Linked DNA regions of Macaca fascicularis. The protein of the gene in region 1 interacts with the protein of each later gene in a biochemical or structural test. Links are inferred from orthologs where the notes say so. Each region holds a gene or a part of one and is shown in the gene's direction. Other genes may lie near its edges.

Region 1 (8,227 bases):
AAGCTTACCCCGTTTGTGACACATAATATGTTTAGATGGTTTTATTGACTTTACAAAGAAGCATGCAAGGCTGATCACAGGCGACAGATGTGATTGCTTCTATCAGGATGTGAGGGGCCATATTTCACATTCAATGTGAGTGTTGAGCTCCATTTTCAACTACTAGTAATGAGAGTTGTGTGCATTCGTTACAAGTAAAGAGTATTCCCATTTGGTGTGGAGTGTGTTTCAGAATGTTTTGTTCTGTTTTCTCCAAACAGTACACATTAGGGAGGAAGTGAGCTCTCTTAAATATGTTTTGAAACTTTTTTTAATGTAAAGATTTCCGAGGGGATTCAAGATTTTTTTAATTCAATAAAAATGCTGTTGACCGTTCAGATGTTTAGTAAAAAGTGAGAGAAAGTGTTTCAGCAGCTCTCCTTTCCTTTTTCATTGCAGTGTTTATATCCAGTTTCAGGGGAGGATAACTGTCCAATTTTTCAAGCACATTTAGAGATTTCTGAAAATTATTTTTAAGTGTTCCTTTGGAATAAAAGTTGAGTCTCTGATTTTAGTTGATATTGTCACTGATGAGAAGCAAGAAATTGCTTGGATTTCTGCCTTTAATGAAAAAGAGAGGGAGCCAGGAAATGCACTGGGCAAAACTGCAAAATCGAATGGATTCAACATGCAGCTCTTAACCAGAAAAAGAGACTTTGAAACATGTGCATTTGCCAAAAAAGAAAACTGCTTTATTGAAAGGTTAATTTTCATATTAGGCTTGGGAAATTTGAGATAAATAAATGAGATCAGACAAAAAAAAACCATAAGGCCTGGATTCTTTTTCCTGGGGTTTTCAGAAAATAGTTATTGCTTCCAGTGAAATGTTTTGACATTTCCAGTAGGGAGAAAATGTTAATTGTAATATTGTGTATGTGTACTTAATAACACTGAATAAATCTTTTATTTGTTTTAAGAGTAATAAGAAAGTAAAAACACTATTAAAACGTTAGCTGTCTTCTTTATTCCTTATGGTAACTTTTCATGCTTTCTAGGATATTGTGATTCATTTTACAGGTTCAAATATATACCAACTGAAGAACATGCTTTTGCTTGTTTTATATCAGTTGTAGTTTTTAAAGGAGTCTTATTACTATCCTCCACATAGATCTTCCTGGGTCTCTTTTCTAATTTTGTCGCATCTTTTGCTCATTCGATAATTCCTCACCTTTTTCCGTTGAGTCCATGGCTCCTTTACTACATTTATGAAAAGTCAGCACTTAAAGACAGCACAATGATGGTCCACTTGACTGTATATTTAATTAAGCTACCTTTTGGCAGAGACAGTGATTTTTTTCTGAACAGCCATCTCTGTAGCCACCAACTCCTTGCTTTGTACTTAACAGACACCCCATAATTTGTTGAATGACTGTAATACCCTCCTTACTTCTGCCATATGTCCCTGCCCCAGAATTCCATGTTGCAATTGATGACTGGAGCTACATGTCCAAAGCAAAGGTCTCACTGTTGAAAATTACAATATTACGTTGTCGATGGTCCTTTAGAGAGAAATACCAACACGGTCACATGCTCATGGACCAGCAGGAAGCCAAAGGTAAACGTCACCACCTGAGGCCCAGCCCTGAAAACAGGCTGCCTAAGAAACAGGACTCGCCAGTGTAGAAGAGCAGCATCTGCCCTTCCTGATGTCATGATCTACAACTATGCATATACGTGACATGCACACACAGGTCACCATCCACAGGGAGAAAATACTATTAGTAATCATCTTAGCAAGCATTTACAATCTAATTTGGTATTTGTTAACTTCTTAGTTAAAAGATATGATGATTCTTACAGAAAATGCTGTTCCCTTTTTGATCACTATCTTTAAGTAACTACATGAATACCACTTAAATCACATTAAATCTTGAAAATAATCTCAAAAGCAGTTTTGAATGGGAATAAAGTGATAAGTGTTTACAGTTTTCCACGCACTACTCATCAGAGTACTATTAAGCACCAACAGAAAAGGAAAGCTGCTATATAATAGGGGTATTCCTCATATAGGGGCATTGGCATACACTCTCCCTCATGCCTTTATAAAGAAAACATAAAATACAGAATTGAACAGTTAACATAAGCTTTAGGTCTCATGTAGATTAGTGCTTATGAGGTAGAAAATAATCATGTGCAAGGAACAGAATAAAACTCACTCGCAGACATCAGCAGCATTTTCAACTGTATACTTCTTTGGCATGTTTTAAAAACCAGTGGGACCTATGTGTCATGGGAAGATGGTTGGATCCTAGTATTAAAAGCCAGTCAGTAACATTCAACAACAGATTCAACCAGTAACATTTGCACAGCTAGATTAATGTTTTGGAGTCAGTCAGTCATCAGGCTCATTACTACTGGATTTTCTCTGGTTCATGCTAATAAACTAGATTATTGATTTTAGGATTTTCTTTGTATCCAAGGATATTCTCTAAGATGTCTTTATAATGTTTCATGCTTAAGCTGTCCAGCAAAATGACATAACAATGAGTAATCGTTTTATAATCACGTTGAAAGGGGTTAAAAACAGCATATAAAATGAATCTTAGCAGCTTCATAGAAACATTCTCGCTGCCACTTCCCTATCTGGGTGGAGGTCATTCCTACCTGCCTGCCATCTTCCCCAGGAATTAACTAGCTGCATGCACAGCTTAAGACCTTTGATAGTCATAAATCTGCTTTCCAATATGTTTGGATGGCAGAAGAGCTCAAAAGACACCTCAGTCTAAATAGGATTTTAGCACATCAGGTGCTATTACAAAGTAAAGCAGGCTGGGTTGCTGTGTTGGTGGTGGTGTTTATTCATCTTCCCTTCGCGTTTCATGTGTATGTATGTATGCTTCTCTGCGTATATGCCCAGCTCTCAGGGTGTATGGGGCTGGAGAATGCATGCGTAGAGTGTGTGTATATGTAAAGTAGAAACTGAACCAGGGAAACAAAATGAACTACTGTATGCAAGAAATATATGAAGTGCACCCAGCTGCCGGCAGCAATTGCTACATGCAGTCCACTGATTATTACGCGTATTTTGAAGATAGTCCGGGTTACAGTGGTTGCGATGCTCAGGCTGTGCCCAGTAACAACATATATATGGAACAGGCCTGGGCAGTGAATCAGCCTTATACCTGTAGTTACCCTGGAAACATGTTTAAAAGCAAGGACTCTGACTTGGACATGGCCCTGAATCAATACAGCCAACCTGAATATTTCACTGAAGAAAAGCCTACTTTTTCTCAAGTGCAGTCGCCATCGTATTCTCAAAAAAAAGGTAGGGACCATTTTGCTTAAATGTGTTCAAAGTTTCACTGTTTGTTTTCGTTTCGTTTTAAAGTTACAGTTTACATCAGCTTCGTCAAATCTTTGAATGTGAACGCTATTTGAAATTAAAAACGGCAGTAAGAGGGGTTGCTAGGTGATTGAAGGACTCTGTGAACATCAAGATTTCCAAGCACTTTTTTTCTTCATCTGTGAAAGCTGGTGTGAGTTGGCTTTCTAGGCTGTATTTTGCTATGTGTGTGTATATATTGCCCAAAGTGACTATTGTTGGCTTCTTGGCGAAAGAAAATATGCGAAAGGTTTCCAGTTGGTGGGTAGGTGTTGTGGTGTCTGAAGTGGGATAATTCTCCCCAGTTCAGGTTCAGATTAAAAACTCATTTGACTTTTTCTTGGCACTTCATTTTGAAAGTTTATTTTCGTTAACTAGTAAAATATGTTAGTGATTTCTTTGACAGTGCTATAATAATGTTGATTTGCTAGGATCTGTAAATGTTCATTTTAATGTATTTACTTATCCATGTAAACAGTAAAGAGTCTATTTGTAACCATGTCAAACTGTAAGAATGTAAAACTCAAACAAAAACTGAGAAACTTTACCTTGCTATTTTGTCCCTAAAGTTGAACATGTCTGCAATCATATCAAGTGAATTCTCTTTATGAAAGGAAGTGAAACACCCTTCAAAATAGCCAATATTAAAACCAGTAAAATATCCATATATCTTAATAGACACCGTGGCTTTATAATGCTGTTTAAATTTCTGTCAATAGAACGTATCTTGCATTACTGAAAAATAAGATACTGAAAAATAAAATAAGGGAGGCAAACAGGTAGAACTCAGGACGTTTAGTAGCAACTGCCAGATAGGAATGCTTTTGAAAACAGTGTAAATTCTAGTGCAGATACGCCAGAATCTCATGTGTTCTGTATATAATCTATAGGATATTGCATAGAGAACCAAATTTACAAGGTTCTGTAATTTACAAAAACATGATGCCCTTTGATCCTCAAAGGTAAATTTCTCTGTTAAATTAATCTTAAAACATAATGTGGTTTATTTAGTTGTGGTTTCTATAAAATTTATCGTTTGCTTTTCTTAGTGTGACTCTATAATTGAAAGTAGTCTGTTATGAAAACAAATGAACAAAATTTTATAAAAACAAAAACTAGAATCTGTAATTTTTACTACATATAGTGTTATTCTATAACTTCCAAGTATGAAATATTAAGGAGATTACAGCATAAAATATAGAGTTGCTCATCTTGATTTTTATTTATAAACATGGAGTTTTGCGTCCTTTTGAAGGTCGTCAGAATCTCATTTCTTACAAGAGACACACAGAGTAAGTCCCCTAATGGAAACACTTGAGATAGATTGAACATGTGCTATTTCACTTAATAGTGTAAGTAATTTAACTTTGAAAAGAAGAAATTAACATTGCCTCATTAAACATACTTGGATATGCCTTTTGTAGTGTTATAAGAAAATATTGGTGCCTGTCAATCTATGTGGTCATTCTGCTATTCTTAAAAATTCCTGCAGAACTTTTGAGGTTCTTTTCTCTTTTCACTGTATTTTCTTCAACCAACACTGGGGAATATTTGCTTATAAAATGTTAAACCAGGGATTCTTTACTAATTAATTTGATGCATGAACTAGAGGAAAAGACACATTGTATGCATATATTGATGTAATTTCAAAGCCATATGTCATTGAAAGGCCACCGCCACCTGCCAAAGTCACTAAATCAAAGCAGGCAAATATTCTTAAATGCACCATTATTTACTTTTACAAGTCTTCAAGTAAATCCCAGTAAAACTAAACCCAGCTGTTAACTGTCTCTTAGGACAAAAGGTTGTACCCAACATGTTTATCCATATTGATCCACTATTGATTTTTGTTGTGTTGAAGGACATCAGTAGTGTCTCATTAAGGCAAAATTAAGACTATAAACAGGTGTTCAGTGGGGTAGGCCTCATTTTCCAATTGGATTTTTATCTATTCACAATAGATAAAAATTCATAATTGCTTCATCTGTGTTCACTTCTGTCATTACAGCTTTATAAACTCCAATAATGCAGCTGTCTTAACTTTTTCTTTATTTTTTTTAAGGATGGCTTATTTCCTAGCCTTTATTTTCTAGTATACAGAGAATCTTATAGAAAAATTACAATCTTATAAAAAAATTATAGGTACAAACTGGTGAAATAAAGGAAGGCTACCCTACCCAATGTTAAGAATGGTTATCTTAATTGGTGGACTTTAGAATAACTTTTAGTTTTCTTTGGATTGTTTTTCTACAAAGGTTTTTTGCATTCATAGCCGAAAGAAGAAGTTATCAAGCTCTGGAAGCATTAAGAACATGAACTAAGGAAGAATCAGATGTCAGTTCATTGAATCACATTTAAAATAAAGCTTCAAGAATTGAGGAGGGGAAAACCAATGTAATTTTCACATTGCGGAGGGCTGAAATGCAGAATGTAATGTGTGTCTTATTTTTCATATGGATTATAAAAAACAAATTTGTAATTTTCAAGAACCCTATCATTCACTCAGAAGATATGATATTTACTGTAATTCTAGTGACATAGCTGTGCAAAGGTATGCTAAGTCCTCACAGGGCCAGTGCTGGCTGCACACTTCTGGCCCCCACAAATTCAGGGGAAGGAGGGAATAAGTCTAGAATCAGATGGAGGAGAATTGGCAACTAGGTTGTTTGTTGTGCTTTCTCCTCTGTGGCTGAGGTTTCAGCAAAGTAAAAAGTTGACTTTTTTTCTCCTTCTTTTCTTTTTTTTTTTTTTTTTAAAAAAAAAAATCCTTTTGTGGGTAGAAGTGCTGGCTGTTTCCATCACAAATTCTAATTACATTCTGAAGTTCCCGAACAGCCTGCATCTTCATCTGGTTGCTCTGAAGGCAGCTTTGCAGGTCAACCTCTCAATTTAGTGTGGGCCGGTTGGGTCTGTTGAAACAGAATCCCTCCTAGGAGTTTTCCCTGGGCAACTCTCCTCCACGGGATTATTTGCTTGACCTTCTACATGCCGTCTTACTTGATAGGAACTGCATGTTCGAAAAGTTGCCTGAGTTTGTTATCATGTCCAAGAGAATAAGAATTTCCTGTTTTTAGGCCAGGACCAAGGAGATGGGGCTGGGGGTGGGGGTGGGGGAGGGTTGTCCTATTCAGTTTTGGTTCTGATTGTATATGTTGTTGCTCTACAACCACATTTTTAGTTGTGCAGAAAGAAAAATTAATAACCGAAGCAGAAACTCCACACAGGACTGTGCTTTCTGAATCTGGTTTCATTGCCCCTCTGACTTGGACACAGAATTCTGTCTTTTTGTACGTGTGTGTGTGTTCTGTAGCTCTGTTGACTCCAGGTGAACAATTAGATAGGCATTTGAAATAAAAATTAAGTGGCAAATTGGGGAATGTTTCTTTCTCAAGCTTTCCTTTCCTTTCCTTCTTCCTCTCCCTCTGTCCCTCTCTCCTACTTTCCCTCCATCTCTTTCCTCCTCTATCTTCTCTTTCTCTCCCTCTCTCTCTCATCCTTACTCTTCCCCTCTACTTGAATTTTTTAATTTAAACACAGATGTGATCAGTCCACCCAGTGAGCTGTTGAGTACTAAATAAATAATCTCTTTTAAATGTAATAGTTAAGTGGTTAATGCAATCATAGATTTTTCAACAATGTGTATGTAATTTAAGGATGTGATGGAAAGTTAGGATTTTAAATTAGGTACTGCCACCCATTTACGGTTCAGAGAAAATACCACTCCAGAAAACAATACCACGACTTTTAAAAATACAGAACACATTCACTGTACAAAAGGTTAAATGAAAGTGCCTCTTGGCACCCAGAAATGAAAGCAAAGTAAGGAGCAATAATCATTTCCAAACCAAGTCCAAGTGCAGACAAAAGCATGAGCTGATTCTTTTCTTTCCTTTTCTTTCCTGAGAATTAACTCTCTTGTCAAAGACATGTCCTTCAGAGATTTCACTGAATGCCCTCACCTCATCCAGAGCATGCATTGCTCCTACTCACAATGAAAGCTAACAGTAGGAGTCCAAAGAATTATGAGCAAATGGAGTCAGACGCCTGGCAGGCTTGCAGAGGAATGGTGGCCCTGCTGGCCTTCTGCATATGGAGTTCATATCCACCACCTCACATGCCTCCATGAATACTTCTTCATAGTCAAGCACGCTTTTTTCTCAGCTTTCAGTCTGAAATCAAGCTGCTTCCCTCCCTGCCACCCACTCTGGTCCAGCTTTTATGATCCCATCATCTTATGGGTCCTTGGCTTCACCGGTACCCAGTTGGTTATCTGTATTCTTCCTGTTTCCAGAGCCTTGGGAATACTGAGTTTCCCGTGCGCTGTCCTTGGTACTTCCCTCTCATCCGCTCCCTTGGTACCAGCTGTTGTAAAGAATTTCCTCAGCTCTCTCGGAGACTCCTAGAATGTGCTTTCGAGCAGTCACCCCACACACCTGCTTTCCTTATCTGCAGATACCTGCGCCATATTTTCCTGCCTTTCTTCCCTCCAGGTTCACCCTCTCTTGCTTAAAGCCTTCTGCTTCCAGCCACTCAGGGGCAGTTCTTCCCCATACTCTGCACCACCACAGGGCTCCTTCTCAAGGTTTTGGGCCCTTTTCTATTACCACAGATTTCACCAACTCTTCCCTGCCCTCAAGAGTTCAATTTTGATTATGGCTTTGTGCTTTTACCCACACCCTCTGTTCCAGAAACCTTGGCCAGTCTCCCCAGGGGTTCCTCTCTCTGTCACCCCAGTCTCCATCCCTGAACCAGTATGCTTTCCTCCAGCTGTCACCCACTGCCAACCACACCCTGGTGGGCCACCTTGCTACTGTCAGCCTGCATCACTTTATGTCACCAACTCAGTTCACAGCCCACCAGCCTCTT
Region 2 (7,726 bases), on another chromosome or scaffold:
AACTCCACAAAGCACTGACTTCAGGCCTATGATGGCTATTGGGGAACCAGAGAGGCCAAATGTGTTTTGGAAATTAAAACTACTGCTGTCTCTCAAATAGAAATGGTTTTTTTGCACAGGTGCCTTTCCTTTAAAGGCTCTTTATCATCCCTAGAAGCTTAAAACCCCACGCTAAGATGATTGGACCTTTTAAATCAGTTACCCTTTCAGTAAACGTTCTCCAGGTGAGTTATATTGCAAGATCATAGCAGGAAAGGCAATTAACAATTTATATTTCATTTCCTGAAGCTAAGTATTAATTTGTGTTTCTGGGTTTGATAAAATGTTTCCAGAAGGAATATTCATTGAGCTATATTTTGTGCCTTTAATCATAAAACTAAAATTTAGAGACATTTATTATGAGGAAATAATGGCTAATGAATGTAAAACAGGTTAATTGAAACAAATTGTTAGAATTATAGAAAAAGAATCAAGAAACTTTATTTCAACAAGCTTAAATGTTCAAAATTAAACCAACTACCTTTATCCCAGCCTTCCCACAATATTCTTTGTACTGTGTTATATCATGCTCACTTGCTGCTTCTTGAATCTTATACTTTAAAAGCTTATCATGGTATATTATTAATAATAACATATTTTTCTGAATTCAAACTTAATTATCTAATTTTTCTGATAGCTCTTTCTCAGTTAAATTCTTTACTAGTATCAATCTGTGGGAATAATTATTTAATAAATATTTTATTCTCTCGATAGTCTGGGAGTAAAATTGCAAGGTTATTCAGTTGCCTCTAGTGTGCATTTTTTGCCATCTTCACCAGCCCTTAGGGAAATTGCTTACTTAGGTCTACAAATTGTGAAAGCGACCTTATACAGCATCAGGACTCCTAGGAAAGGGAGACAGTGGGTTTACAGGAAAAGTACCTGCTTCCAGCTCTACCACTAGTTCACTGTGAAATCTTGGGCCTGTTTCACACACCTTTTTGGGCCTTTGTTTTCTCATTCATAACATGAGGGGGCAGGCGGGGCATGGTGGCTCACGCCTGTAATCCCTTCACTTTGGGAGGCCGAGACGGGCAGATCACGAGGTCAGGAGATCGAGACCATCCTGGCTAACCCAGTGAAACCCCGTCTCTACTAAAAAACACAAAAAAACTAGCCGGGCGAGGTGGCAGGCGCCTGTAGTCCCAGCTACTTGGGAGGCTGAGGCAGGAGAATGGCGTGAAGCCAGGAGGCAGAGCTTGCAGTAAGCTGAGATCGCACCACTGCACTCCAGCCTAGGCGACAGAGCGAGACTCCGTCTCAAAAAAAAAAAAACATGAGGGGGCTGGACCAGATATTTGAGATTTCTTAGCTCTACAATTTTCTGAAAGTAAGGGTTACCACTGAATCTTTGCCTGTAATTTAAAGTGAGAGAAGTTTTACAAGGAGCAAATTGTTACGGGGGTCTGGATGTGCTAAAGATCTGCTTCAGGTTCTAAATTTCCATGTGCTAGGGGGCTTTTAAAATGGATTTTGGTGGCTTATGAAACTGTACACAGTAGAGTGAGACAAAACACTACCTAAAAGTGGGTGAACAAAATCAGGGCAAAGGGAAACTAAAGATAGAAAAGTACAATTAGTACTGAGATTACAAACAAAATGAGGCCCATGATCTGTCTTGTTCTTTGAGAATGTGGATGTTAGTAGCTACATTTTCTTCATTTTTTTCTTCCCCACTGAAAATTTTAAGCTACACCCAGGTAAAAGTGAAGGCATCTCAAAGCCAATAGAGATGTCTGCACATTCTGCAGCAAAATTTTTGTTGTGGTGGTCTCAATCTTTATTTGTTCTCTGAACACCATTTCCATCAGCCAACCTATACACCCTTTTGCAAGGTGTTATGAATTGAGCCCCCACTGTTATATCCACAAAAAAGAAACAATCAGACCCTGTAGTTGAATTTGATCGCTACATTGGAGATAGTGTGGTTTCACAGGAATAATATCTTATAACATTGATAGCCCTATGATCAAGTCTTAAAAACATCTAAGGAATGGGTGGTTACATGAAAATTATTGCATCAGGAATTTGTGGAAAGCATTTTGAGTAAATACAGTGCTGTTAAATTAAGTGGATTTTAACATTTAATGAAATTGCCAGATTATTTTTATGCCAATATTTAATGTTTTATCCACACTAGAGAGAGATGAATAATGGTAATACAAACATTTTAGTTCTTCAGAAATAGAGGAAGGGTTAAGCTAGTTTTGTGTATTTTCTATGCAACTTATTCTAAAATATGTTACTTTTTTTTTTTTTTTTAGCACCCCAGATACTCGCCCAGCTGGTCTGGAAGAGGCTGATCAGCCACCATTGCCTGGAGAACAAGGAATTAACTTGGATAACTCAGGCCCTAAACTGCCAGAATTTTCAAACCGGCCACCAGGTGATAAAATGTTAGCTAGATTATACACTTATCACATGTGCATGTGGCATTACAAGGCTTCATTGTCTTCGAGGAAACAATAGTATTTTATCTGCTAACTAGTCTACTTCAGTGATTTAATGTGTCTCGCCTTGGTATTGAGTAAAAATTTCAGATATAACTTTTGAAGGCACATACACACATTCTATTCAAATTTGTCTTTGTTATTTTAAGTCCTCATAAAATCGGACTGAAATGGGGTTGGGCACGATGGCTCATCCACCTGTAATCCCAGCACGTTGGGAGGCCAAGGTGAGCAGATTGCTTGAGCCCAAGTGTTCAAGACCAGCCTGGGCAACATGGTGAAACTTTGTCTCTACAAAATTTTTTTTTAAATTAGCCGGGTATGGTGACACACACCTACAGTCCCAACTACTCAGGAGGCTGAGGTGGGAGTATCACCTGAGCCCAGGAAATTGAAGTTGCAGTGAGCCATGATCATGCCACTGCACTCCAGCCTGGGCTACAGGAGTGAGACCCTGTCTCAAAAAAAAAAAAAAAACCCTGAAATGTGAAGTGCCTCTTTATTCTTGTCAATGTCAAGGTTCTAGTTGGCATCAGAACAGGATAAGATTAAATGGAGAGATGATTTCACTCTAATCCTGCTTACCTGCCTTTCCTGCAGCGTTTCTTCCTGGGGCTTTTTCAAAGCAGGGAACTACCAGGGTTTAAAACAAGGTGATCTTTTTTATAGAAGTTTCATTATTGAGTCTTTAAAATATAAAAAAGATATAAAGAAAAGAGACACCCATTTTTCTGCCACGTAGGTTAATAATTTATAATAAATAGGACCAATATTGGAAGTCCCCTTTGTTGTACCCTCTCTGATTATAAAATAATACTATCCTTTAAATGTTGAAAAATTATGTCAACAATGGAAAAGCTCCTAAAACTAATTCATTCAAACATGGATATTATAGAACCAAAGCCAGCTGCCACAATATCTCTAAACCTAGTTATCTTGGCCTGAGCAATGACTTGTAACTTTATTCCCCTATGACACGGTTGAGAATGCACAACCCTTCACACTTAGGCTACTCTCTCCTGTATGTACAGAGGGTATGTTTTGTTTCTTCCTCACTAGTTATTTCAGCTCCTTTTTGGCATGAAAATGAGAGTGACATTATTTTAGGAATAAACTTTAATCTACCCCTGATTTATGTATTTTAAAAGTGAATCCAAACAAAAAGCTAAATCCATCATTATATCAATATTTTGTGTTATTTATTACAAATTGTTTGGGCATATCACACTTCCCATCAGTGAGATGCAGCGGCATAGCTGAGACTGGGTGGTCATCAGTCTTTGGGGAATATGTCCAGAAGGCATTGAGAACAGGAACATGCCTTCTTGCCTCAGACACATCTGAGGCAACTCTTCTATATTATATGAATCCCAGGGTCTTTGTATACATTTATTGCCTTCTTTCTGCAAACTGGGGACCTGCAGGCTGAATTTGGCCTATAATGGGTTTGAGTTGCTATGCAGTGTCTTAAACAAAAGTCTGAATTTAAATGCCTTTAAAGAGGGCATCTGCTCTGCAGTTTGGCATTGTTGACAGGACTCTTGCTATCTTATACCAGTCCACTTCTATTCTCTACTACCTGCCTGACCCCTAAAGGCATAGGAGTTTGCATTCCCTGAGTAATAAATTTGGTTTGTGACTGTGTTATGGGCACTGTGTGTGTCCTGGCTTTCCCTCTTCACCATTCTGTCACATCAACCCCAATCTATCTTATCATTAGTGCCTTTTGGACTGCTGCCTCCAGCTTCTAGACTCTGTAGCAGCCATGCCCTTAACTGTTACCTTTGAGAGGCTGCTGTATTGTCTATGCTGTCCTCTTTGGTATTTACTGTCTGGTGGGCTGATTTTAAAGATAAAAGGCATCCATGTCATAGCCCTGACATCAACAGGCTTTTGCAGAAATTATGATTTTCTTAATGTGGGAACCCCAGACTGAATGTGAAAAATAGGAACCTGCTATATTTGACTATATAGTCTAAAGGACAATTGAACCATAGAAATGCCATCTGTTATTGGCTTTATAAAGGTCAAGAAGGTACTCGGGCCTAAAATAAAAAAGGATTTTTAAAAAAATCTTCAAAACTGGATTCTACACATTGTATTTGTTGATACCATGGAAATCTTTGGCCAGAAGACATTAATTAGCTATTGAGTACTGAGTCTGACCCACAAAATTTGGTAGCTGCTCTATGAAAATGTTGAGTCAGCATTTCTTTTGACCGCCAGAGCCAATTGCTCTTATTCCTACACCTTCTTAAAACCTCCCCAATGTACTCTTCATGCAACAATGGAATAAATCTAGTTTGTGGAACTGGAATTGTATCCCACATGTGCACAGCTGTATGCCCACTTTTTCCCACAGAACTACCGTTATTCTTGGTTTGCGTATCTTTTTTTTTTTTTTTTGAAATGGAATTTTGCTCTTGTTGCCCAGGCTGGAGTGCAGTGGCGCAATCTTGGCTCACCACAACCTCTGCCTCCCGGGTTCAAGCGATTCTCCTGCCTCAGCCTCCCAAGTAGCTGGGATTACAGGCATGCGCTACTATGCCCAGCTAATTTTGTATTTTTAGTAGAGACGGGGTTTCACCATGTTGGTCAGGCTGGTCTCGAACTCCTAACCTCAGGTGATCTGCCCGCCTCGGCCTCCCAAAGTGCTGGGATTACAGGCATGAGCCACCGCGCCTGGCCAGTTTGTGTAACTTTTTATCTTTTCTGATTGTGAGGTTTTGGTTCTAAAATGCCAAGTAAAATCTTCACAAAAAAGAGAATAATTTGAGATGTTGCCCTCTGCATATCTAGAAGACATTGTCCTTCAGGGTTCTTTTTCCAGAATTATTTTTTATTCCTGAGGGCTATGCTTCCGCCTTCCTTATTCTCCAACTGTGGATTCATGGAAAATATTTCTCCAAATAGAGATTTGCATGTAAGAAAGTTAAGTGCAAATTAATATCCATAAAAACTTCAGTGCCCTAATTTTATTTTCAATGTGTATATCAGCTTCCATTAACTCCTACTGTTTATTAAACTGATTTACATCTGAAGGGCAATTTTAATTCAGTTGGTTTCCCCCAAAGGATTAATCCTGAAGGATGCGGCATAGTGTATGGAGCCAATGAATTGGAATAATTTTAAATTTCTCTTTCTTAAGGAACTGAATTCTAGAATTTTATATTTTACTTCTGTTGAAAGAATAAAAAGGCTGTCTTCAATGCTGTTATTTTCAATAAAACCACATCTTTAAAAAAATTATTCCTATGCTAACAGAAGAAGTGAATCCTAAATGCTTTACTTCATTCACAAGTACATTGAAATATTGATTATGACTACATGAGATCTGAATCTTGGGTAGACAGGCACTTGCTGTTGATGGAGTTTTTATCATTTCATCTGAATGTTTGGCTGGTATAGACACAGCCATTTTCAGTGCATAGCACAGAAAATCAGGCTCTTAGTACAGTCATGGCTCATTCAGACCCTACACACCAAGGAGCTCCAGGTTTTTTGATGCTTTGCTTTTTGCTTCCTTAAGCACTGTGCCCCTTTTGCTTATGTCAAGTAATGAGGGGCTGCCCCCTGCCCCAGGAGTGGGCATGCCTGAGCTGTTTGTGCATAGTCTGTGCCACCTAGATGAGTATTGCTTGGCTATACTCTAAAGGTAGCAACATTTTCTTGCTGAAAAATCTAACTTCCCTGATTTGGGGGGCTTGTTTTAGGTTATCCTTCTCAACCAGTTGAACAGAGGCCACTTCAGCAGATGCCTCCTCAACTCATGCAGCATGTGGCACCCCCACCACAGCCACCACAGCAGCAGCCACAGCCACAACTGCCTCAGCAGCAGCAGCCACCACCTCCCAGTCAGCCACAGTCTCAGCAGCAGCAGCAGCAGCAGCAGCAACAAATGATGATGATGCTCATGATGCAGCAGGATCCCAAATCAGTTAGGCTTCCAGTCTCTCAAAGTGTCCATCCTCCAAGGGCCCCCCTGAACCCCGACTCCCAGAGAATGCCCATGCAACAGAGTGGCAGTGTGCCTGTCATGGTCAGTCTGCAAGGACCTGCCTCCGTGCCACCATCACCTGATAAACAAAGAATGCCAATGCCTGTGAATACTCCTTTGGGAAGCAATTCAAGGAAAATGGTCTATCAGGAGAGCCCGCAGAATCCTTCCAGCTCGCCACTGGCGGAGATGGCCTCGCTCCCTGAAGCAAGTGGCAGTGAAGCACCATCTGTCCCAGGAGGCCCAAACAACATGCCTTCACATGTAGTACTTCCCCAGAATCAGTTAATGATGACAGGGCCAAAACCTGGACCATCGCCCCTTTCAGCAACTCAAGGTGCAACTCCCCAGCAACCCCCTGTAAATTCTCTGCCCAGCTCTCATGGCCACCACTTTCCAAATGTGGCCGCGCCAACCCAGACATCTAGGCCCAAAACACCAAACAGAGCCAGCCCCAGACCCTATTATCCTCAGACACCCAACAACCGCCCTCCCAGCACAGAACCTTCAGAAATCAGTCTGTCACCAGAAAGACTCAATGCTTCCATAGCAGGACTCTTCCCTCCACAGATTAATATTCCTTTACCTCCTAGGCCAAATTTAAACAGGGGCTTTGATCAACAAGGCCTAAATCCAACAACTTTGAAGGCCATCGGGCAAGCACCTTCAAATCTTACCATGAATCCTTCCAATTTTGCTGCCCCACAAACTCACAAATTAGATTCTGTGGTAGTGAATTCTGGAAAGCAGTCTAATTCTGGAGCAACAAAACGGGCAAGTCCAAGCAACAGTCGCAGGTCTAGTCCTGGGGCCAGTAGGAAAACCACTCCAAGCCCCGGGAGGCAAAATTCAAAAGCCCCTAAACTTACTCTGGCCTCTCAGACAAATGCAGCCCTGTTGCAGAATGTGGAGTTGCCGAGAAATGTATTGGTCAGTCCCGCTCCTCTGGCCAATCCCCCTGTACCTGGGAGCTTTCCTAACAACAGTGGGCTGAATCCTCAGAATCCTACTGTGTCTGTGGCTGCAGTTGGGGGTGTTGTTGAGGATAACAAGGAGAGCTTGAATGTGCCTCAGGACAGTGATTGCCAGAATTCCCAGGGTAGGAAGGAACAGGTAAACATTGAACTAAAAGCAGTCCCTGCCCAAGAAGTTAAAATGGTTGTCCCTGAAGATCAATCCAAAAAGGATGGGCAGCCTTCGGATCCTAACAAACTTCCCAGTGTCGAAGAGAACAAAAATT
Region 3 (7,726 bases), on another chromosome or scaffold:
ACCTCCTTTTACCCTGCTCACCTTTTCGAAAGCCCTATCTCCAAATACAGCCACATTCTGAGGTCCTGGAAATTGGGGCTTCAAGATATGAATTTTAGGGGGACATAGTTTGGCCCATAACAGTAGCCATGCCATAGGCAATTTGAAAACATGTGGAGCGGCTGTGTGCCAGTCACACTTTATTTATGCAGAAGCAGCCAGGGACTAGGTTTGGATCATGGGCTGTAGTTAGCTGGCCCCAGTTATAAAGAGTAACTATCACCCAGGCTGGTGTGCGTGTGCAGTGGCACAATCATAGCTCACACAGCCTCAACCTTATGGGCTCAAGGGATACTCCCACCTCAGCCTCCTGAGTAGCTGGGACTACAGGTGTGTACCACCATGCCTGGCTAATTTTTTTTTTGTTTTTTTGTTTTTTCAATAGAGATGGGGTCTTGCTATGTTGCCCAGGCTGCTGTTGAACTCCTGGTCTCAAGCAATCCTCCCTCCTCAGCCTCCTGAGGCACTGGGATTTTGGGTGTGAGCCCCTGCACTTAGCAAATTGTTTTTATTCCTCAATGAAATTTAGAGACTGTCAAAATATAAAGAAACCTAAAATATTTACTAAATTGCACTAAAACCACGATTTCGCTAGAATCATCAGAGGTAGGCCGGGCGCGGTGGCTCACACCTGTAATCCAGCATTTTGGGAGACTGGGGTAGGTGGATCACTTGAGGCCAGGAGTTTGAGACCAACCCTGGCAACATGGTGAAACCCCGCCTCTACTAAAAATACAAAAATTAGCCAGGTGTGGTGGCGGGTGCCTGTAATCCCAGCTGCTTGAGAGGCTGAGGCATGAGAATTGCTTGAACCTGGGAGGTGGAGGTTGCAGTGAGCCGAGATTGCGCCACTGCACTCCAGCCTGGGCAACAGAGCAAGATTCCATCTCAAAAAAAAGAAAGAAAAGAAAAGGGATCATCAGAGGTAGTATTACTTAGTACATAAAAAGAAATATTTCTGGAAACAAAAGCGCCCTTTAAGTGTGTTTCTCTTGTATTGGTAAGCCATTTGTCTCTCTGTGTTTCCTGTAACAGATAATCACGCGAAGCCAATGGAAATAGATGGAGAGGTTGACATTCCATCCAGCAAAGCCACAGTCCTTCGGGGCCATGAGTCCGAGGTGTTCATTTGTGCCTGGAATCCTGTCAGTGATTTGCTAGCTTCCGGGTAAGGATGTCAGGATGGGGGCGCTCCAAAGTTGGGGAGATGGGAGATGCAGGCTCTTGCCCTTCTCTGGAGTTCTGCCTTAAGGAACACACACTCCCCTTCTTACCCCAGTGTGGGCAGACCGAGGAATGGGTGGCTCTATGATCCATTTCTCTACATGTCTCATATTGTGGAGAAGCCATCGTTCCAAGTCATTTTCTTCATGTGGTGATGAGGAACACAACAGCATTTAAAATTACCAAATGCAAAGATGGCAAGGAGGGAAACAGGGATCCAGAGGTATGAAAAAGACAGAAGAGCACGTGCTGAAAATGCCATCTGGCCAGAGAGTAAGCTGTGGAGAGCTTCTTATCCCGTTTGAACCAAACGCCAGAGGCTCCTGTGTTTTTATTCTGCAGATCCGGAGACTCAACTGCAAGGATATGGAACCTGAATGAGAATAGCAACGGGGGCTCCACCCAGCTCGTGTTGAGGCACTGTATACGAGAAGGGGGCCACGATGTCCCAAGTAACAAAGATGTCACCTCACTGGACTGGAATGTAAGCGTCTTCCACCCCCTGGGCACTTTGAAATTGGTAAAATCAGCCAGCCACCAGGGGAGGACTGCAGCCATGGAGCTCATGCAGACATAGGAGGCAGGTGGTCCCGTGTGCTCAGCCCCACTCTAATGGGCTGCCAGAGAGGTGCTCTTGGCTTCTTTTTTTGTGTGGGTTTTCTTTTTTTTTGAGACAGAGTCTTGCTCTGTTGCCCAGACTGGAATGCAGTGGTGTGATCTCAGCTCACTGCAACTTCTGCCTCCTGGGTTCAAGCGATTCTCTTGTCCTCAGCTTCCCAAATAGCTGGGGTTAACAGGCTCGCGCCACCACACCTGGCTTAATTTTTGTATTTTTAGTGGAGATGGGGTTTCACCATGTCAGCCAGGCTGCTCTCGTACTCCTGACCCAATGTGATCCTCCTGCCTCAGCCTCCCAAAGTGCTGGGATTACAGGCGTGAGCCACTGCCCCCGGCCAGTCTTGGCTTCTAAGAGGTATTAACAAGGCTGCATTTGGCAGGCAGCGAGCTGTGTGTTCGGTAGCCGTATCTTTGCATGTGAGCATGCCATAGCAAAATGAGCCTGTGGCCTCATGGTGGGAAGGTAGGCCGGGAGCCCCGAGGTAGTTCTCCTGGAGAGATACGACGTGCAGCCCAGGAGAGGTGACCCTCCACCTTGGGATTTCAGCAGCAGGTATCCTGTGCGTTGACACATGGGATGCACACAGTTTGGCTGCTTTTTATTTTCTGCAAGGTTTCGCGATACCTTTCAGCATGGTATTTTCAATTCTGTCATTAAGGAACACACAGTGGCAAATGGTTCCAGTGTAGCGGGCTCCTGGGAGAGGCTCTTGGAGCTGTTTGGTGCTGCCACTCCTAAGTTGTTTTTGTGTGTTTCTGTCTCTTTCTGGCCCTCAGACCAATGGAACACTCTTGGCTACAGGTTCATATGACGGTTTTGCAAGAATATGGACGGAAGATGGTGAGTTCTGTGTCCCTCGTGCTGAGGTCGGGTAAGAGGAGTTGCCAAACTTAACCCTTGAGTGAACAGACCGTGACATTGAAGTCAACATGTTTGTTTTTACTAACAGGTAACCTGGCCAGCACCTTAGGCCAACATAAAGGCCCCATCTTTGCCTTGAAATGGAACAGAAAGGGGAATTACATTTTGAGTGCTGGTGTAGACAAAGTGAGTATTAGCTTAAAATATATCCCTTTGATCCACAGGTGGTTATATATTTTTAATCTCAAAATACCATCGTGGTTTCCTGGAACTCTTAGGCTTTGTGCTTCCCCTTAAGAAACGAAAAGGATTTGTTTAGGCTTTGTTTTTGTGGTTTTGATCTTTCTGTTAATTTGTAACACATCATCTCTTAATATATTCTGTCCTGCAGACCCTTGTGCAAAGCTTCCCTTTATTTGAGGTACATGGTTCAGTGGTAGAGAGAGGAAAATCTCCACATTGCATTTGTCAGTTGCCGGAAGGAGCCATGTGGTATGGGGTGTGCCCCGCGTGAACTTTCACCCACTGAGGGGCGAGTGGCACAGGCTGTGTGTGTGCTTCAGGCTTCGGCTTTCCTCGTTTGATAAACTGCTGCTTCCCACCATAGACTGCAGATTTCTCTGAGCAGCAGTCAAGCAACCTGGCTACAAGGGCACACTCTCCGGATGGCCCACAGAGTCAGTTTAGAATTGGCTTGCTCTGCACCTGGGCAGGGCTGCAGGGATACACGGTGGCGTTAACTCCAGGTGCATTTAAGAGCCATCGATGGGGTGGGAACCCAAGGGCGAAGAGTAAGGAGATGCAGACTTCATCCCGGGCCTGAGTCTGATTCAGCCAGAAACCTCAGCCTCTCTGCATTTCACTTCCCTCACTTGTCCAGCGACAGGGCTGGCTGGAGTCATGACCCCAGACAGCCTTCGTGGAACAGTTGTGCGTTCCCGAGACTCAGCAGGAATTGCTTTGGAAAAGAAGCATATTATTTAGAATTGAAAAAAAAAAAAAAAGATGTGTTTTCACATCAATTTGTGTTTCTACAACAAATGGAAACATTGCCTGAATACTGGATGCCCGGGCCTCCACAAAGCTTTGCATTTTGTGATGATTTCAGGATAACTTGAAAACTTACTAAGTCTTGAAGTTCGAGACCAGCCTGGCCAACATGGTGAAACCCAGCCTCTACTAAAAATGCAAAACTTAGCCGGGCGTGGTGCCAGGCACCTGTAATCCCAGACACTTGGAGACTGAGGCTCGAGTATCTCTTGAACCAGGGAGGCAGAGGAGGTTGCAGTGAGCCGAGATTGCATCTCTGCACTCCAGCCTGGATCTGGAAGAAGAGTGAGACTCTGTCTCAAAAAAAACAAAACAAAACAAAAAAACCTGACTAAGAGCTTTCTATTCTTTCTAGTTCTGAAAGTTATTATAAAATGATAGACTTGGCTGGGCGCGGTGGCTCATGCCTGTAATCCCAGCACTTTGGGAGGCCAAGGCAGGCAGATCACCTGAGGTCGGGAGTTCGAGACCAGCCTGACCAACATGGAGAAACCCCATCTCTACTAAAAATACAAAATTAGTCGGGTGTGGTGGTGCACGCCTGTAATCCCAGCTACTCAGGAGGCTGAGGCAGGAGAATCATTTGAACCCGGGATGTGGAGGTTGCGGTGAGCCAAGATTGCGCCATTGCACTCCAGCCTGGGCAAGAAGAGCAAAACTTTGTCTCAAATAAATAAACAAATAAATAAAATGATAGACTTGACCTCTGAACATCATCCCACTTTTGGAGAAATTGCTAAATTAAATAATTGCATTTGGCAAACTGTCACACAGGCCAAGCCTGGCTCCTCACCTGATTTTTTAATTTAAATAAAGTTGTATTGGGACACAACCACACCCCTTTGTTGAGACTTCTCCATGGTTGCTTTCATGCTACAGTGGCAGAGATGAGCAGTTGCAAGGGAGACCGGATGGCCCTCAAAGCCTGAAATTCCTGCCACCTGGCCCTTAACAGAAAAAGTTTGCGAAGTCCTGCACTAGGGTATAACTAGGTCAACAAATCATTCATTTATAATTGCTCTCTCTCTTTTAAGCCAAAAAACCTTTCTTTCAGACTTAGTAGCCTGGTTTATGATATTTTAAAAGCCGAGTTGCTGTGGTTGACACATAAACGTTCTTATGTAGCTACTATCGGATTTTTGCCAAGATGTTCTAATTCAAGTAACATGCATATGCAGCACTTTGCTGTGCATTCAGTAGGCTCTCAGTAATTGCTGCTTGAGTTATTAAAATAACTCATGAAAATGACAGCATTTTTCTTTATCAAGCACTTCACTACTGCGTGTGTTAACCCATCCAGTACTGCCAAGATAGGAGACAGGCACAAGTAGGATCACTCCCATTCTATAGAAGATGAACTGGAGGCCCAGAGAGGGTTATTAATTTGCCTAGGGACACACAGCTGGTGCAGAGGGATGGGAACTCAGGCCCTGGTCACCGGTAACTACTGCCCTTTAACTTCCGTAGAATTCTAAATTTAACAAAAAATTCTGTTTGTTAAATAGCCGGCCTCCTTCCTACCTGGAGACTGTTAACATTCGTGATTGTTTTTCTCACTGATTATCAGTCTTAACTCCACCAGGTGATGGACTATGTGATCAGTGAAAATGCGTATGTGGAATTATGTTAGTCTCTTGGGCTGGGTGCGATCCACTATCATTACTTAGTCAACCACAGCAGGAGTGAAAATAATGTCCTTGTACATAACACTCGGGGAGAAAATGTAACTTAGGGGATGCTGGTATTGACCAACACAGAGTGACTAAAATGTGTGTCACATTCTTCAAATGTTTGCATAACTGTTTTCTTTTGTCCAATGTATATTTAACATCAACTAAGAGACCCAGTCACTGATGTCATATGTGAAATGGTATCAGAACTGTGAAAGAGTTTATATATTCTCTGCAGTGTTAGATTTGTTTTTGCGTGGCTAAATTAAGAAGAGTTACACCCCAACAAAGAAATGTTAATTGGTCTAGGACTGATCCAAAACCCAGGAGTACCAAGTTTCAGAGAGACTCACTGCTTGCTTTCCTCTGAAAATGTCCACAGTCAACACAAAATAGAACTCTTTCTTTTTAAAGCAAAATCTTGACTGAGTGTCACTAACAGAGAGGTGTAAAATTTCCAATTAAGTTGAAAATTCCAGTTGATGAAGATGTAACTCCAATGCTATTCATTGAGCTGGTTTTCTAAGTATCTTCCTAGCATGAGTAAATTAATAAAAATTCATGATTTCCTTTGTTTTCCGAGGGAGAAACTCACCTTTCTACTTACTGTTAGACCAATACGTCGGTGCCTGGCCCCAGTGCAAGCCAGTGGCTCTGCCATGTCTAGTGTCCCCGGTTCATGGAGGGATGGGCAGAGGCATTTTTAGAAATGCTTGTTTCTGCAGCCCTTCACTTGGAAAAATGCCACAAAGATCTTTAGAGATGCTTTGTTCCAGGTTTTTCAACATTTTTTGGCATTTGGGGATGAGGAGGAATTCCTACCAATTTTGGTAGTTCTTGCAAGTATTCGTTAGGGATGCTCTGTCCTTAAGCCCATTTATGCCTAGTGTTCCATTATCGGAATGCTAGGCATGTGGGAGTTATTTATATCCTACTGCTCAGGGTCATTGCCAAGGTCTGATTGCAAGAATTCAAAAAATTGCAACCTCAGGCATAAATGAGTTAAGGGAGATGCCAGCATATGTGGCTGATGGCTTCATCAAGCATGGCCATCCAGATTGCTAAGTTTGAAACATGCTGTATTTTAATGATGTGGTATGCGAGAAAAAGAAGGTAAATATCCCAGCAAGGTTTTGATACTGATTACATGTTGAAATGGTAATATTTAGGGGCATACTGGAGTTAAACATAATAGATTGCTAACGAATTTTACCAGTTTCTTTCTTCTTAATGTGGATCCTAGAAAATTGAAACTAGCCCGTAAGGCTCACTCTCTATCTCTCTTGGACAGTGTGGGTTTATAAGGAGAAGGGCTCACTGTCTTTTCTTGTATGATAAATGTTTCCAGAGAAAACTGCGGGAATAGTTACTAACTTTTTCCTTTGTTTGCGGAGCACAGACAACAATAATTTGGGATGCCCACACAGGAGAAGCCAAACAGCAGTTTCCTTTTCATTCGGGTGAGTTTTTTTGTTTGTTTGTTTGTTTTTTTGTAATTCAAAAATAATAATTCAGGTTGAGCCCAGTGGCTTACGCCTGTAATCCCAGCACTTTGGGAAGCCAAAGCAGGTGGATTATATGAGCTCAGGAGTTCAAGACCAGCCTGGGCAACATGGCAAAACCCATCACTACAAAAAATACAATAATTAGCCAGGCACGGTGGTCCACACCTATAGTCCCAGCTACTCCGGAGGTTGAGTTAGGAGGATGGCTGGAGCCCAGGAGATGGAGTTTGCGCTGAGCCAAGATTGCACCACTGCACTCCATCCTGGCAACAGAGCCAGAGACCCCGTCTTAAAAACTAATCATAATCCAAAGTTAGGCTTGGCACTATGGCTGATGCCTGTAATTCCAGCACTTCGGGAGGCTGAGACAGGAGGGTCACTTGAGCCCAGGAGTTCTAGACCAGCCTGGGCAACAAAGCAAGACCCCATTTCTACAAAAAATATAAAACATTAGTCAGGTGTTGTACACACCTCTAGTTTTAGCTACCCAGGAGGCTGAGGCAGGAGGATTGCTTGAGCCAGGAAATCAAGGTTGCAGTGAGCTGTGATTGCACCACTGCATTCCAGCCTAGGTAACAGAATGAGATCCTGAAATGCCCCTTAAAGTAACTGAATGCACAGAGTATGGAGCCCAGGGGGCCTCACTGGTCAGAAGGAGACCCATTTTGTGGCAAGCATTGATTGCTCTTAAGGTTTGCAAGATAGAGGTGTCCTCGGCACCCACCTGCTCAGAGCTCTGAAACCCAGCAGTGAGCCAG

The links. The genes of interacting proteins can lie anywhere in the genome.
Region 2: the proteins of THRB (region 1) and NCOA6 form a complex in vitro, tested with the Homo sapiens proteins (2 studies listed by BioGRID). The link is inferred for Macaca fascicularis from reciprocal best matches to the Homo sapiens genes THRB and NCOA6.
Region 3: the proteins of THRB (region 1) and TBL1X form a complex in vitro, tested with the Homo sapiens proteins (2 studies listed by BioGRID). The link is inferred for Macaca fascicularis from reciprocal best matches to the Homo sapiens genes THRB and TBL1X.

Annotation. Positions count from the first base shown.
Region 1 is NC_088376.1:24,183,021-24,191,247, forward strand, and holds the start of THRB (thyroid hormone receptor beta), read left to right. Parts: upstream 1-2,894; 5' UTR 2,895-2,976; coding exon 2,977-3,304; intron 3,305-8,227.
Region 2 is NC_088384.1:90,784,141-90,791,866, reverse strand, and holds part of NCOA6 (nuclear receptor coactivator 6), read left to right. Parts: intron 1-2,303; coding exon 2,304-2,425; intron 2,426-6,202; coding exon 6,203-7,726. UniProt on the Homo sapiens protein: Nuclear receptor coactivator that directly binds nuclear receptors and stimulates the transcriptional activities in a hormone-dependent fashion. Coactivates expression in an agonist- and AF2-dependent manner.
Region 3 is NC_088395.1:9,373,883-9,381,608, forward strand, and holds part of TBL1X (F-box-like/WD repeat-containing protein TBL1X), read left to right. Parts: intron 1-1,074; coding exon 1,075-1,207; intron 1,208-1,605; coding exon 1,606-1,747; intron 1,748-2,658; coding exon 2,659-2,722; intron 2,723-2,831; coding exon 2,832-2,929; intron 2,930-6,862; coding exon 6,863-6,923; intron 6,924-7,726. UniProt on the Homo sapiens protein: F-box-like protein involved in the recruitment of the ubiquitin/19S proteasome complex to nuclear receptor-regulated transcription units. Plays an essential role in transcription activation mediated by nuclear receptors.